Drosophila melanogaster: one gene and its partner. The protein of the gene in region 1 purifies or fractionates together with the protein of each later gene. This does not show direct contact. Each region holds a gene or a part of one and is shown in the gene's direction. Other genes may lie near its edges.

Region 1 (9,303 bases):
AAGTTAAGCATTATTCACCAAGGGTATCATTATCCGTCCAAAACTAAAACTGCAGCGTTGATCCTTACAGGGTTGTGGTATTCAACTGGACCATAATAAACCCCATGATTAGCTATTCCTCTTAAGGGCATGGCCTCAAAAATGCAACCTTAATAAAGCATAAATCAACAAAAACCTATTCTCAGAAACCGCGTGTCAGTCCACCTCAATGCCAGATGGCTTAAAAATACGATGCCATACTGAGCATAACCAAAAATGGACTAATATCAATTGAAATTGTTTTAACTATCCTTGTGCCTGAAGATATAAGCCACTTCCTGCTCTCCTGGAAATTAAAACAACACTAAAGTTAAGCATTATTCACCAAGGGTATCATTATCCGTCCAAAACTAAAACTGCAGCGTTGATCCCTACAGCGTTGTGGTATTCAATTGGACCACAATAAACCCCATGATTAGCTATTCCTCTTAAGGGCATGGCCTCAAAAATGCAACCTTAATAAAGCAATAAATCAACAGCAAAAATTCTACTTTGGTGCTTCGAGTGGATCAAGTGATAGCTTACTCATTTCGATTTTTTTTTGTGACCTCTTTGCAGATCCTGGTCAGCGCCATCATCAACTCGGGACCCCGTGAGGACTCCACCCGTATTGGACGTGCCGGTACCGTCCGTCGCCAGGCCGTCGATGTGTCGCCCCTGCGTCGCGTCAACCAGGTGGGTTTCTTCTGAAGATTTGCCTTCCAGATGCATGTGCTCACGGTGGCCGGTAGCAATGGCTTGTGGTTCGTTTAGAGACTGCTTGCTTATAACACTTGGCCAGAACGAAAATCTATCTAATATCCGTAGCGTCATAATGTGTAGTATAGCCGACATTTGGCGTATGAAACGAAGAGACATTATCAATTGCATAACACACTTTCATTTTACTAACGATAAGAACCCCAAATTCTTACGCTGCTGTGATTGCGTTCATAAAGTTACTTAATTAATTTTTTTCCGTATATTTCCTTTAGGCTATCTGGCTGCTGTGCACTGGAGCTCGTGAGGCTGCCTTCAGGAACATCAAGACCATCGCCGAGTGCCTGGCTGATGAGCTGATCAACGCTGCTAAGGTGGGTAAATTGGGCTTGTGGCGAGATCAAAGTGGGAATGGGGTGGTCTACTCTAATGCTTGGCATTGTACTACCAAAATGCCTGGCCTCGCTTGTAGACCAGATCGAGAACCACGTTCGGCACTCGGATTAACCCAAGAATTGAGCTTCGAAATAGCTCTTTTCTTCCTTCTAGTGACACAGCTAGTCATTTCAACTAGTCCAATCTAATTCTGCATCATGGTTTATTTATGTAGTCTCGCTTTTGGACCAGATCAAACTCCAAATCTCTTATTATCCTTGTGCTAGTGACCACTTAACTGTCCTATGCACACGAGAAACGTAAAAGAACACTTTTATGAATTAGCATTTAGGAACTGATTCGATTAGGATAGCGGGGGTCCAATCTAATTCTGCATAGTGGTTTAATTATGTAGTCTCGCTTTTGGACCAGAACAATCACCATCCTTTATTATCCTTGTGCTTGTGACAATATCAGTCTAATGCACACGAGAAACGTAAAAGAACATTAGCAAACTATTTAAGAGTTGGTATATAGAGCTTAATAATAGGTCCAATCTAATTCTGCATGGTGGTTTAATTATGTAGTCTCGCTTTTGGACCAGATTAATTTCCATCCTTTATTATCCTTGTGCTTGTAATATTGCTTAGTTCAATGCACATGAGAAACGTAAAGGAACACTAGCTTTAAATAAGTTAGGGACTTGTTTTTTTATATTTATTTATTTAGAAGCGATGAATCCATACAATGCAGTAACAGTAACATAACAGCGCAATTAACATATAAAAGATCTAGAAAAACATTGATAGCCAATACTAATAACTTGTGTTTAAATGTATTTCCAGGGATCTTCCAACTCGTACGCCATCAAGAAGAAGGATGAGTTGGAGCGTGTCGCCAAGTCCAACCGTTAAGGAGACATCATCACCAGCAAAAACAAACTTCTGTCTGTTTTTTTTTATACAAATAACGTGTGTACACTGAGAAATGATACACTAAAACTAAAATAAACAACAAGATGAAAAATTCACTTCAGACCATTCTTTTTTTATAGTTTTTAGTTTATAATAAACTTGGTTGTCAGAGAAGAACGGATATTTTAGCTATTTTCTATCGGGCTGCTGGTGTCAGAAATATGTGAGGTTAAGCGTGAGTAAAACGTGAAATTGTCTTGCTTGGAATAGCTAAAAATATTGAAATGAAATTTAGCTAAAAAATTAAAGTAAATTACATGGTTTAAACAAATTGAAACTTTAAAAAGTTTTTTTTATCGATATTGATACAATTTCTTTCATAGATATTTCTCTAACTACTCACGATAGATCACTAAAATACGGTTTTTTTAGTGTATAAAATCTATAGATAGTTGCGATACTCCATCGATCTGGCATCACTTTTCTAAAATAAATGTATTGGAAAGCTGGCAACAGTTTACAATACTCCGATTGTTTTAAGCCCTTAAATTCTACATTTATATATTCTATTCTTCGCTTTTGAAGAACTCTATGCCAAAGCAACAAAAGATCCATTTATTGTAGGAGGCTAGTCATTAGTCATTTAACGACATTTAAAATCTAAGTCACACATTACCCGATCGAAAAACTTCAGTATCGATTTAAATCAGGGCTCGATAGGTACACTTCATATCGCAATCGGTTTTAATTCCAATTTTTCCTTAGTCAAACACTTCATTTTAAAATTCTTTGGTAGTAGGTCGGATTGAAATAAGTTCACATTTCTGGATTAGTGTATAATGTTCACAGTGGATGCAAGCGAAGGATCATCAGTTGTAAACGAGACTCCATTAAAAAGCCAGTAAGTGCACGGTAATCCTGGTTAAAAAACAGGGCGCATTTATTTTCGCAGGCTCCTAAAGACATAAAACACGAAATGCTAATATACAATACAGATTCCACGATCAGAAGTTGGTTGAGCACTTTTGCCGGCAGACGCAGCTGCTCAAGCTGGTCCAGGTCTCCTCTGGCCGCTTTGTGGCGAACTATATGAGCTCCCGGCGGCCAGAGGACCTGCTGGCCCCCATCCAGCTGCGCCTGGACTTCGAATACCGGCAACTACTCGATATCTCACCGCAACTACTGCAGCTCATCGTCGAGGAACCGCTGCAGTTTCAAGAAGCGGTCCGCTACTCGGTTTATGGCTTGATCCGCTCACATCTCAAGGACGCTGGCCTGAAGCCCATCGATATCAACCAGCTGCACGCCCACTGGCGCCTGGTGGGACTGCCCTTTACGCCGGGCCTGCAGTTCGAGCCGCGGGACCAGTTGACCCGGCTGGGCTTGTCCCAGATCCGGGGCATCCTAGCCGCTTTCACGCCGCAAGAAACACTGGTGTCAGTTTTACAGTTTGTACATGTCCTGGCAGAGAATTGCAATGTTCCCCTAGTTTGCTTTGGTGTGCTTTTTCCACATTTTTCTTATTCGATTTGGTTATGTTTGGGTACTATGTATCCTGTCATGCCTGATTAATTATAGTTATAGTTCTTAACTAACCAAGCTAGCCAAGCTGGTTTACCCTTTTTGGTTTAGTTCAAGAGGGTTTTAAGCTTAGTCTCTTAAGTGTAAATACCAACCTACAAAAGAAGTATATCTATATCCCATTAACTTTCTATGAATGTTCATTGTTGTTAAAGTTAAAAAAGCATGGATCGTATTATCGTTATTTTTTATTTAAGTGGGTTAATGGTATTTATTATTTGTCTATTGCATGTATTATTTTCTTATGCTTTAGGCAATATCTGTTTCTAAACATATTAATTATAAAACACACAGCTGCTCTGCTAGGGTGTACCAATCTTTGATAATATGTGTAATTTATATCCTGATATTCCATTGTAGCCTACAATCGATCTGGTACTGCGGCAGTGGCTGTATGCGAAATGCCATACAGACCAGCTCAACAGATGGTAGGTCCCATAGGCTAGGAACATAAAGAAACAACGTGCACTTTATCCAAATTGTGGCACAGCCAACAACCTCTAACTAACAACCTCTAACCTCTAGCCATACTCACAACCCTCGGAACCCTGTCTAACAAAATGTTATCTAACCCAGCATTCCTTGTTCACGAGATCCTGTGCCAGCTCCATTGCTAATCCATCTTCTTGATATCTTTCAGCACCCTTTTGTTCGAGCTGCTCGCGGCCCATGAGTGAATACCAAAAGCTGCGCGTCACGGAAACCTATCGTATCTTGGCTGTCTTGCCTATTTCGGCAGTTCAGACACCTCGTGTCACCAATTGCCTTCATCGCCCAAAATTAGTTCGCCTTAGAGGTAAGTGAATCTGGTATTCAGGACATCATAAACACGTGAAATTAAATATGCCTGGTAAACTAGGACATACTCATTTGGATGTCACTATCATGAATAATCATAATATTAACAACATTTCTTAGCCCACGCCCACGACTGCGAATTAAAGTTGGGTGCTAGCTACCTAATCACTGGATACTTTGCGAGCTCAGCCAGCACATATCAACTGGAAGCATGTCATCTACGAATAAACTAGAGAAAAAGGACCCTCGTAGGCACATTCCCCTCCAGCTTAATGTTTTCTTGCGCAACGATGACGATGGTGAAGTTCGTGAAGTTACTCAAAATGCCAACACAAGCTCCATAGGGTAGAATATTCTATTTACACCATTATAATAAGCAAATATATTAATGTATCCCCCAATGCCCAGCACCATACCATCGAATGGCCTGGTCGAAAGCGATGTGACGCCTATTATGACTCCCACACCGAAGGCCGGTGTCTACAAACCAAATGTTAACGTCTGGCGCTTATCTAAAGAAGTCACTAAGCCTGATCGTAGCTTTGTTGTGAGTGCCGAAGAGTATCCTGATTTGGGCCAGCGCCCGAAGAGATTCAAACAACGAACGCCGCGGGTGCGTAATCAAGATGACGGCGGCACTGTTTCGTGCCTTGCCAGTCGTTTTAGTCGCGTAAAAGATCCGCCTGTGCTGGGTAACTTTTTGCCGGATTTCATGCTTCCGAAATCGAGCAACAGCAATCATCAATCGGTGACCACTTGGCTGTCGTCAGTACGTCCTAGCGACAGCCAAAAGTCTTTAAGCGACCAGGCACGTTGCTCTTCTTCGACCAATATAACACTGCTGAGTAAAGATTCAGTACAGCCGCTGACGCCAAAAAGTTCTGCCCAGTCCTCTCCGGGTGAGAAGAATATCCAACAGGAGCAGAATACTCCAGCTAAATCCCAACAGGAGGAGACAAGTCCGGCTAATTCTGTCGAGCATCAGCAGAAAACACCTAACTCTCCAAAGGAGCAGCAGAAGAGTTCTGTCGGTTTTACTAACATGCAGCAGATGGCTTCCGCCAATTCTTTACAGCAGCAAAACAGTTCTGCCAGTTCCTTACAGCAGCAGAATAGTTCGGTCCATTCCTTACAGAAGCGGAAGAGTTGGGTCAATTCTTCACAGCAGCAGAGGAGTTCGGTCAATTTCATACAGAAGCAAAGGAGTTGGGTCAATTCCTCGCATCATCAGAAGAGTTCTGCCAGTTCTTTACAGCAGAAGAGTTCTGAAAATTCTCCCAGCAAATTCCAACAGCAGCAACAGAAGAGTCCTGCCAATAATGAAAGGAGCCAAAACAATCAGAAGTCTCCTGGCATTCAGCACTCTTGGAAACAACAACAGCAGCAGAAGCCAAAGATTCTTCAGAATTGTCCGAAAACTTCTGTTCAGCAGCAGATGAACCCTGTTAATCATACTCAGTCGCAATCAGAGAGACCTACCGAGCTCATTTACTTGCACTCAAGGAGCCCTGCGAAGAGAGCTTCAGTTACAAACAATTCTTCGGCACCAATCCGCATTGCGCCCAGACAGCAGACCACTCAATCTTCGGGTCCCAGTGTTGTCCACAATGAGGACGAGGATGTTATGCCGCCGACGCCTAATCAAAGTGAGAGAAGGCAGAGGAGATTCCCACGTCGCAATCACAACCCCCGGATGGTGCGCAGTCTGCAGGCGGTAAGTCGAGAGTTTACAGAGTCCTTGCTTGAGGGATCTTCAGGGAAAACGCCGGAAAAAGAGGTGGTGCCGTACCAGCAACAGGAGAAACCGCGCCAGGTGAAAAGCTCACCAGAAATCCATGCGAGCAGCCACATGCGAAAATTGGCTATGGGCAGCGTTTTGAACTCAAATGCTAAGGAGTTCCACCCTACCGGAGAATCCCATCTAACCCACAAAGTGTCTAGATTGAGCGTAAGTTACTGCACCGTAAGTTTAATCCTCATTAGATAACCCTTTCTATATTGGACAATTACAGCAAAGACGCTGTCGACAGCGTTTTACGCGCTCTTTGCACGCGAAAAAAAATAACCCACGCGAGCAACTACCAAATCCTGACAGCGCCCCAGAACCAATACTCGAATACACCTCTGAGATAGATGATCAGCCATGTCCACCACGACAGACAGTCGACACACCGATCGAAGCCATTGTACCACCGGCAATGATCGAGGTGAGTGCCACCGGCAATCTGCCGCCCGTGTTCTATTTTGATCAGCAGTCGGGAATTATATGGAGCAACTCGTCACCACAAATTCCGGTTGAAATCCAAAGCAACAGTGTCAGCCAGTCGGTTTTTCGGCTAGCCAGTCTCCCGTGTACAGGGGTTGGCACCACCAATATGGATATATTTACCAGTTCGCCACCCCCCATCCAGCATATGAGCTCCAGCCGCCTCCCATCCAGCATTTCCGGGCCCACCCAGTTATCGCATACTCTCAGTTCGCCGCCGGTGGAGAACCAGCACCAGCAACACTTGTGGGAATCATGCATCCACCAGGACGAGGACCTAATGTACAGCAGGCCTCTGTTGGATATGGATCAGGAGGAAACCCAGCCGGAGCAACAGGACCAGGAATGGCAGTGGGAGTCGGAGATAGAGCCCCCGAGTTTCCAGTCGGAGAACCAGGTCGTCGCCGACGAACACGGCGAGGAAAACGCGTACCTCGCTAAGGACGCAGGACCACCACTCGAGCGTCATATGATATTTCGAGCCCCATCACAGCACGGCCAAGAATATCCCAAGCCGGATCTAAACTGCGTGCCGTCCAGCATCAAGAAACTACATCACTTGATCTCATCGCAGTATTCTGACTACTCCTTTGTCTACGCCCTAAGTGCTCAGATCAGTCAGGACTGTGTGCCTATGGATTGCTTTGTGTACCTGAAGATGATACTGCTGGCCAGTATCGTTTCAATCGAATCTGATGAGGTGCGGGCTCCAATTTCGCTATGCATAATCGCCACCGACAGCCTGATGGCCAACCGTCTACTTAACAAAGTGGGCCAACTGGCACCACGTTTCCTGGGACCCCACGAATACGGACTGCAGCCCACTTTCAATGCCCTGCCCACGCGCTTTAATTGGATAGTGGCCAGTCCTTTACTATTGGCACAACAGGGAGTTTACTACGCCGGCGATTGGAATCGTCTGTCCAAGGATCAGGGATGCCAGCTGGAAAAGTGCATCGAAAATGGAGCGGTCCCAGTTCCGCAGTTGCACATCGATCAGCCCTTAAAGGCAGCCGTTTGGACTTACTGGCAGCCGAACAACTCCACCAATCAAACACTGGCCCTCGCCAAACTGTGCCCGTAAGGTGGACAAAACTAGAAATTACGCTTGTATATTAAGTTAACCTAATTTGCAGAATCTTCGGGCTGCCAATTTATATGGGTGCTCAGGCCAGCAATAGTCTCTGGAACTCTATAATTCAGAAGCACAACGCTGAGGGTCAAATTGTAGTCAACGATGGCTTGAGCATTCCCGAGGACGATATGCGCATGCTTATACATCTGTTGCATCAGCGCAAGACCACCTTAACCGATGGCGCTCAGCATATGCTGCAAAAGTATTATGTGATCTCCAGGAAAGAGCGACCGAGTAAGTCTAATTCCATTAAGCAGCAAATCGTCTTCCTAGCTTCAAAGCGAAGGGTCGTGTCAGTACGGCTTTATGAAACACAGATCAACAAACACAACAACAATCACAATTCAAACAGATCTCATCCAAACTGACTTTAGTAATGTTTCGCATTTAGCATGTTTCGAGAACAATTAACAGAGTCAAATTGTTAATTATTTTCGAAACTTGAAATACTATTTACAACTTTTGTTACTATTTTGTGCTCCTCTAATCGATGGCAACTAACGTTTTCCATCCCGCTCATTTCCAGATGTCTTCTCTAGCAAGACCTATATAGTGCTGAAGCAATTAGCTGAGTGCTTTGCCAAGCTGGCGCTGCGGCTGGAGGTCCTTGAATCGGACGTTTGTGTGGCCATCTTTCACTGCGAGCATTTCGTGCAGGGCATTTTCGGGGCCAAAGAAAACCAGGCACCGCCGGCGGTCTTCAATTTCAATGTGATCTCCTGCATCGATCCGTACATGAACAAGTTTACACGCTGGTTACTTCAGTATCTGAATAGCTACGAGGACGAGGAGCTGGGGATGCACGCGGATAAGAGGCGGCGCACAGATAGCTGGGACATGCCCTAAACGCCTGGCATAGATCCCTATAGACCAACTTGGCATTGATTTGGCATTACTCGTAGATTTATAACCATCGCACACTGGACCAATTTTGAATACCTTTTGTAGTTTTATACAGATAAATTTACAGCACATGTGTTTGTAAACAAAATCGGCACTATAGCCACTAGATACTACACCCTAGCCATTCTCTACTACACAAACAACACCTGAAGCGTTCAAAAACGAAGACTATATTTGTAAGCATTCACACATAGCCGACACATACATACATCCCCCATCTCCTCCACATTCAGTATCTTTTGATTCATTCGATATATGTTTTGTGTATATCGCAAGCTAATCGCGGATAGTTTTAAAAATTTAATTCGCGAAAATCAGGAAAATTTTGGAATAATCTTGTACCGTTGTTAATCGCTAATCAACGATGTTTTTGCTAATTTTTTGGAAGCTATGTACTTGTAAAATTGTTTTTGGGACAAGTATTAAAATTAAATGTGTGGCCAAGAATCTATATAGTTTTGTTTTTTATAAAAACCATATTTCCACAGAATATGCTTACACCTGAAATGAATTGTTAACAATACATAAAATAGTTACATTACGTCGGGGACATCAGGAATACTTTACAAAAGTTATAGTACATAAAATAAGGA
Region 2 (6,148 bases), on another chromosome or scaffold:
GCATCCTGGGCCGTTTGCGGCTTGGCATAGACGGCGTTCAATGGGAAGCCAGCATCGCCGGGAATGTCGAACTTGGAGATGGCCAGGCTGTACATGTCCTGCTGTCCCTGGGCCTTGCTCGTGGAGCGATTGAGCTTCTTGAGGCACTCTGTTATGTAGAGCGTCACATAGATGAGCACGCGATCCACGTCGGACTGAAAATGGTAAAACATAGTTTGTGAATTCAAGTAGCAAGTAGCATAAGGATTCAATATGACCATCACGTGACCAGGTAATGGTTCTGAATCCCGGATTACGGCCTCACCTTGATTTCGTACGTGCGAAAGAAGACATTGGCTTTGAAGTAGTACAGTGACTCATCAATGATGTCGCTCTCAATATTCGCACTGGGCGCTGGCCCGCGCACCTGCGTCCTCAGCGGCAGGATGGCCATGTTGCCCACCTGCTGGCGCACTTCCTTGATCTGCGAGTGGTAGGCCTGAAAGCATAGTTAATTTACAAGATTGCCTTTTCCCTTGGAAATTTTTATGCTTGGCAGGGGGTCACGAAAGCAGGTGAAAAGAACTGGGAATATCTCAACGCCAACTCGTTTGCCTTTGATGCGCAAGTATCCACTAACCGGCATGTTGAATTGTATTTTAAATTAATTATTTAAATTAACGTTGAAAACGTTATTTTTTCGATGTTAAATATTGTTTTTAATTATAGGCGTCCACTGTTTACAAATTTTGCAGCTCTAATTTATCGACAAGACCGATAAGTCGCGACCGAAATGGTCACACTGAGCTAAATTTTTAAAATTGTGGACAATTCCATTAAATACTACAAGTTTTTTAGTTCGTTATTAATATTTTTTTATAAATTGTTGTACATCAACCAATTTAAATATGTTTGACAGTTCCAGATTTTCTGTCAGAAATCGAATCGAAACATCGAATGCTAAACAAATCAAGTTTGTGTTAAATGTTTAAAATTTTTAATGTTTGCGCCATCCACAAAGGAATTTGATTGTGACTTCGCTCTTTATGGATGAAAGTAAAAAATTCCTCCAGAACGTTGCCCATATCGCTGGCAAATTGGATCTCAACCACTTGGAAAGAACCACGATGGCCTACAAACGTTTATGTCTGGAACTAGAGTCCATGAGCAATGAGGTGACTCCAGCCGTTACTCCTCCGACTTCGGCTTCTGCTTCTCCGCCGACCGCGGTCTCCCCTAATGGACTCCGAGCAAGTGCCTCAGAATTCGTGCCCCAGGTGCCGGTGACCAGTGACCGGATTCCCATTGAAATGGACAATGATGAACAGGATGATGATTCGGATGACGATGGCTACGATGAGGAGCGCAAGAGAGCTGTGAGTATTGGAGATTTGGAGATATGTCTCAGTTTCTAACCATCAACACTATCTATAACACAAAATATTAATTTATCTAAAGATAAATCTACCTAATTTAGCCAAAGCCCGCAATATACGGCATCCGGTTTTATAACCATCATTACGAGTCCGACGACGTGAGCGAAAATCACTTGCAGGCGGAAAAGAAGCGAAAGTTGGGCTATAGGACTCCAAAGTTTCGGCCAAACCAGCCGACTTGCCGGTCCCCAAAGTCGGAAACGGACTTTATTCCCACTGCTAAGCCTCCGCCGGAATTGGCCAATGGACAGCCGCATTTCAATGGACCCTACATGCCGCTTCTGCAGCACCGAATCGCCAACGCAGAGGCCTACGGGCTCATCCAGGGTTCCGACGAGCGGAACAGCCTGCTCCTGGATGACATGGTTAAGCAACTGGCCCGCCTGGACAACTGTCCCGTCAATCTGAGTTCACTTTTCCCGAAAAAAGGTGACCAGAAACCAGAACCCTAGATCGCTCTGAATGTTCTGTAAAAAACTATGAGTTTCTTATTAAAAGGAGGCTTTGACTTAGTATTCGATCTGCTATTCAGTTTTATCATTGGTTGCATACGGTCTCTAAAACTTTTCAGCAGAGAACAAAATGGTAAAAAAAAAAATAAATAAATACAAAGCTGTAGATAACCAAAAAAAAAGGCGATAGCTGTCAATTTCTAAGGCTAGTTAGTTAGTAAGCCCTAATTTCCCTTACAGATTCCAGCTAAAACCGAGACGGAAGCTCCGTGCATTAAAGATCCCAAGGAGATTGAAGCAAAACCTGCTGAAAACATGGAAATTATTCATAAAACGATCGTGGAGGATAAAAAGCACAAAGATCCCAAGGAGATTGAAGCAAAACCTGCTGAAGCCATGGAAAGTGCTGCTAAAATGTTCGTGAAGGATAAAAAGCATATGGAGCAAATGTTGGCTCTTTCCACGATTCCACTGCGCATGGACCAACAAATCCAGTGCATCAAGACAATTCAGCAGGAGCTGCTTAAGCTTCACCTGAAGCAGGTGATGCTCCTCGACGGCTGCACCGAATTACTACATGAACTAAAGGCCGTGCAGCCCACTGATGAGAACGAGGAGATAAAAGTGTTGGAAACATTTCGTGAGGTCAAGTCGAAGCTATCGGGTGTATTTGAACACTACCTTCCCGCCCAGCTGAGCATACTGAAGCAAGAATCGAAGATATCACAAGTGTCCGCCGAAATAATTCCAAAATAATTTTATTACATCGATTTATAAGTTTAAATATAAAATCGTTAAGGGTTCAATATCTTAGCCAAAGATCGTTATCGATATTTCATGTCATTTGTAATATAGGTATCATCTCTATTTAAAAGCGGGCAAATTTGTAAACTTTCCCCAGCTGAAATGAATCCAACGCTTTCCCGGGGGGGCGCCCCATCGCGATTTGTGCGTGGTCGTGGTCGCGGAGGCGGAGCCTACCGTCCGTACTTCTACTTTCGGCGCAATGGACGTGTGATCCCAGCCGGAGGCAATCGACAACCCAACCAAGGGGAACCTGGAGCACCAGACGCTCCTTCTGTTCCGCCTGCAACTCGGCAACCCAGGGGCTGGAGCCGCACAGCCGGCAAGCGAGGACGCAATGCTCACTTGGACTGCAGCTTTCTGCGGCCGGAAAACTATGCCGCACCAGAAGACGGGCTCCAGGTGCAGAGCATTGCGGTGGATAATCCACGGGCTTATTCCGGCTGGCGACTGTACTTCTTGCGCGAGAAATACGAGGAGGGCAACGAACTGGCCACAAGGATAATGGCCGTGGAGGCATACTACCAACGTAATCCTCACACCTTCGATTTTGTGATGATACGGGATCGGGGATTCTTCCCCCTCTGCGCAGCAGGCATCAAATCAGATGCCCAGCTAAAGGAGGTTTGGCCTAGTTTGTCCGAAGACATCCGTGAGCACCCGCTTCGCACGCTAGGAACCCTGTCGTTGGCTATGCACACTGTGGTCGTCAATCACCAGCTGGACTGTAATGATTCCACCACAGCTATGGTGTCCACTCCGGAACAGTACGTCCTTCCAACCCCACGGGTACGCAAGATCTACGCACGACCGGATGATTTTGTGCCTGTGGAATCAATAGAAGGAATAAGCCATTCCCGAGTGGACACTTTGTTTTCCATCCGGGGTTTTGTGAGCAATGTGGGCGAGCCTAGCTACAGCCTCACGTGGCAAGCCTTTCGCTGCAGTCGCTGCCAGATGGAGATTGCCATGCGCCAACGGGGAACCTTCCAGCCACGTCCTTATCAATGCAAGCGGTCGGAGTGTGTGGCTCGTGACGAATTCGTGCCTCTTCGCAGTTCCCCATACACCAGGCTTTCAATCCGACAGATTATCCGCGTGGAGGAGTCCAGTTTGAACTTGGTCCACGACTTTGAGACCAGCATGCCTGCTGAAATGGACGTGGAGCTGCGACATGATCTAGTTGATGCTGTGCGTGTCGGACAGGAGGTCGTGGTAACTGGCATCCTTAAGCTGCAGGAATTGGGCGACGATACCACCACTGGAGACACCTCCAACCAGATGCAGCCCTATCTCAAGGCAGTCAGCATTCGCGATGCGAGCAGCATCAAGCGGGAGTTCAGCGAACGTGACTTGGAAGCGATTGTCATGATCAATGCGGAACCCAACAGCTTTAAGCTACTGGTGCAATCCATTGCCCCGGAGGTATACGGACATGAGCTACCCAAAGCCGCCTGTTTACTATCCCTTCTCGGCGGGAAAGGTGCGGAGACTGAAGCCATCAACGTGCTCCTGGTGGGTGATCCCGGAATTGGAAAGACCAAGATTCTGCAAAGTTGTGCTCAGATCGCTGAACGTGGTGCCCACGTGAGTGGAAAACGTGGGGCTCAATCCGCACAGCAACTGGGTGTTACGTTTGCTGGGCGTAACAAGCGTGTGCTACAAGCGGGTTCCTTGATGATGGCCAGTGGAGGCGGTCACTGCACCCTCGATGATGTGGATAAACTTGCCTCCAAGCAGGCCGTACTGTTGCAGTGCCTACAATCAGAGGAAGTAAATCTTCCACTTGCAGGAGCATTTGCCTCATTCCCGGCGCAACCTTCGGTGATAGCGTGCGCAAATCCACAAAGAGGACAATACGATGAGGGGCGCTACCTTCTACAGAATATTAATATTTCACCCTCTTTGCTGCGGGAGTTCCATTTGGTTTACATATTATTGGACAAGCCCTCGGAGAGAGATATGTCGCTGACTGCCCACGTAAGGGCTCTCCATGCGGGCGCTAGGAAACGAGCGAGAATTGCAGCCCGCTATGCTCTTAAGCCCAAAATGAGCGACTCCATGTGCGAGGTCAGCCTTAATGTGCCGGCAGCGGGAAAAGATGATGACACAATCAAAACGGAGGACGATAATGACAGCATTATGCAGCAGGATTATGATCTTGACAAACGTCTGGAGGTACTTCCGGAGGAGGGGGACTTGGACCTGCTCCCACCCATACTGATTAAGAAGTTCTTGTCCTATGCTCGCCAGGAATTAAATCCGGTCCTAAACGAGGACGCCAGCAATGCTGTTCTGCGTTACTTCCTTGAGCTCAAAGGAAGCTGCAATCTCGATGAAGACGTTTCCAGCCAGATTGGCGCAGGGTAAGTGAAATTTTTTGGTGACGGATTTAATTAAGTTATGTCTTTTATTCTAGTTATAAGTAATCTTTAAGTTAGGACATTGGGCTACCTCATAAGCTTGAGGAAGGAGGAGACGGGAAGCTCCAGAAAGATGGCCAGCAAGAAGGAGCAGAGATAGGACACGGTCACCGTAAAAAAGATGAAAGCAAACTGTAGATAAGATGAGAACAATTTGAGTTACATAAAATCCAATTCCTATTGAATGCCAGAAGTGAGCTCACCATCATGCCCGTGCCAAAATAAATGGGCTCCCGCACTGTGGCCAAGACGATTCTCGCCACAAGAAGGTGGACGATAAAGGCTCCATAAGTGAGGCGTCCCAAAATGCGGAAAATGGGCAAGCAGCAGAACTTACGGAAAATCCCTGTGAAAGAACAGTAAGATTTGCCAAGGATATACCAAGCATATCTCGCAGTTGATACTTACATCCCACTTTGCTGGCCATGCCCACGATGAAGATTCCCAGCCCGAAGCCCCAGATGTTTCGCTGCAGGCCGGCATATAATGCTCCCCAAATGGCCGACGGCGTCACGTAGTAGTGCTGGAAGATGGGATGAGCACTAAACAGCCATAGAATCCCCACTGGAATAAGTGTAAACCAAAGAAGCTGGAAGCTCTTTAACTCCCGTAGTTTGTATTGCTTCAATGCCAACTGATCGTAAACCAAAGCGGCCAGGACTCCACAGAAATAGCTACCGAAGTTCATAAAGGACGACGTGTAGAATTCGGTGAATTGACGATCTCCGATAAAGGAATCCTTCTGGGTTCTGTTTGGTAGATGGGTAGAATGATTGTAATCAAGTAGTAAAGTTTTTAAGTCCGATCACTTACTGTGGCGTGGGTACAAAAATGGGATAGTAGTTCATGGCATATGTGAGCACCATTGGCACCACCACAAAAAGACCCAAAATGCCCGCATAGAGCTGTTTGCTCCATCTGACGAACCGGTGACCCAGCATCAGCAGCACCAAGCTGAGCACAAAGGAATGAGTATCCGCTGCCAAATACCAACCTTGGAGCAGGCACTGCATCCCGAATGGAATTTTGAGTGGATTAGATGATAAATTAGATA

Evidence for each region.
Region 2: the proteins of mei-217 (region 1) and rec purify together in Drosophila melanogaster (affinity purification with western blotting; one study listed by BioGRID). This does not show direct contact.

Annotation. Positions count from the first base shown.
Region 1 is NC_004354.4:17,136,427-17,145,729, reverse strand, and holds mei-217 (meiotic 217), read left to right. Parts: upstream 1-2,739; 5' UTR 2,740-2,866; coding exon 2,867-2,928; exon of another isoform or gene 2,929-3,022; coding exon 3,023-3,463; exon of another isoform or gene 3,464-3,968; coding exon 3,969-4,036; intron 4,037-4,135; exon of another isoform or gene 4,136-4,248; coding exon 4,249-4,404; intron 4,405-4,526; coding exon 4,527-4,639; coding exon of another isoform or gene 4,640-4,751; intron 4,752-4,814; coding exon of another isoform or gene 4,815-6,354; intron 6,355-6,418; coding exon of another isoform or gene 6,419-7,752; intron 7,753-7,808; coding exon of another isoform or gene 7,809-8,041; intron 8,042-8,333; coding exon of another isoform or gene 8,334-8,653; 3' UTR 8,654-9,152; downstream 9,153-9,303. Other genes in the region: RpS5a (ribosomal protein S5a), read left to right, coding at 598-714, 1,014-1,112, 1,959-2,027; mei-218 (meiotic 218), read left to right, coding at 4,618-4,751, 4,815-6,354, 6,419-7,752, 7,809-8,041, 8,334-8,653.
Region 2 is NT_033777.3:15,829,243-15,835,390, reverse strand, and holds the start of rec (recombination-defective), read left to right. Parts: upstream 1-2,758; 5' UTR 2,759-2,773; coding exon 2,774-5,037; intron 5,038-5,069; exon of another isoform or gene 5,070-5,121; coding exon of another isoform or gene 5,122-5,226; intron 5,227-5,297; coding exon of another isoform or gene 5,298-5,440; intron 5,441-5,502; coding exon of another isoform or gene 5,503-5,843; intron 5,844-5,907; coding exon of another isoform or gene 5,908-6,101; intron 6,102-6,148. Other genes in the region: Arpc3A (Actin-related protein 2/3 complex, subunit 3A), read right to left, coding at 1-194, 305-478, 620-625; CG43317 (uncharacterized protein), read left to right, coding at 1,026-1,355, 1,457-1,867; CG43318 (uncharacterized protein), read left to right, coding at 1,998-2,000, 2,108-2,623; CG4576 (uncharacterized protein), read right to left, coding at 5,122-5,226, 5,298-5,440, 5,503-5,843, 5,908-6,101. UniProt on the Drosophila melanogaster protein: Required for meiotic DNA recombination in females. Probably not involved in DNA repair and recombination in somatic cells.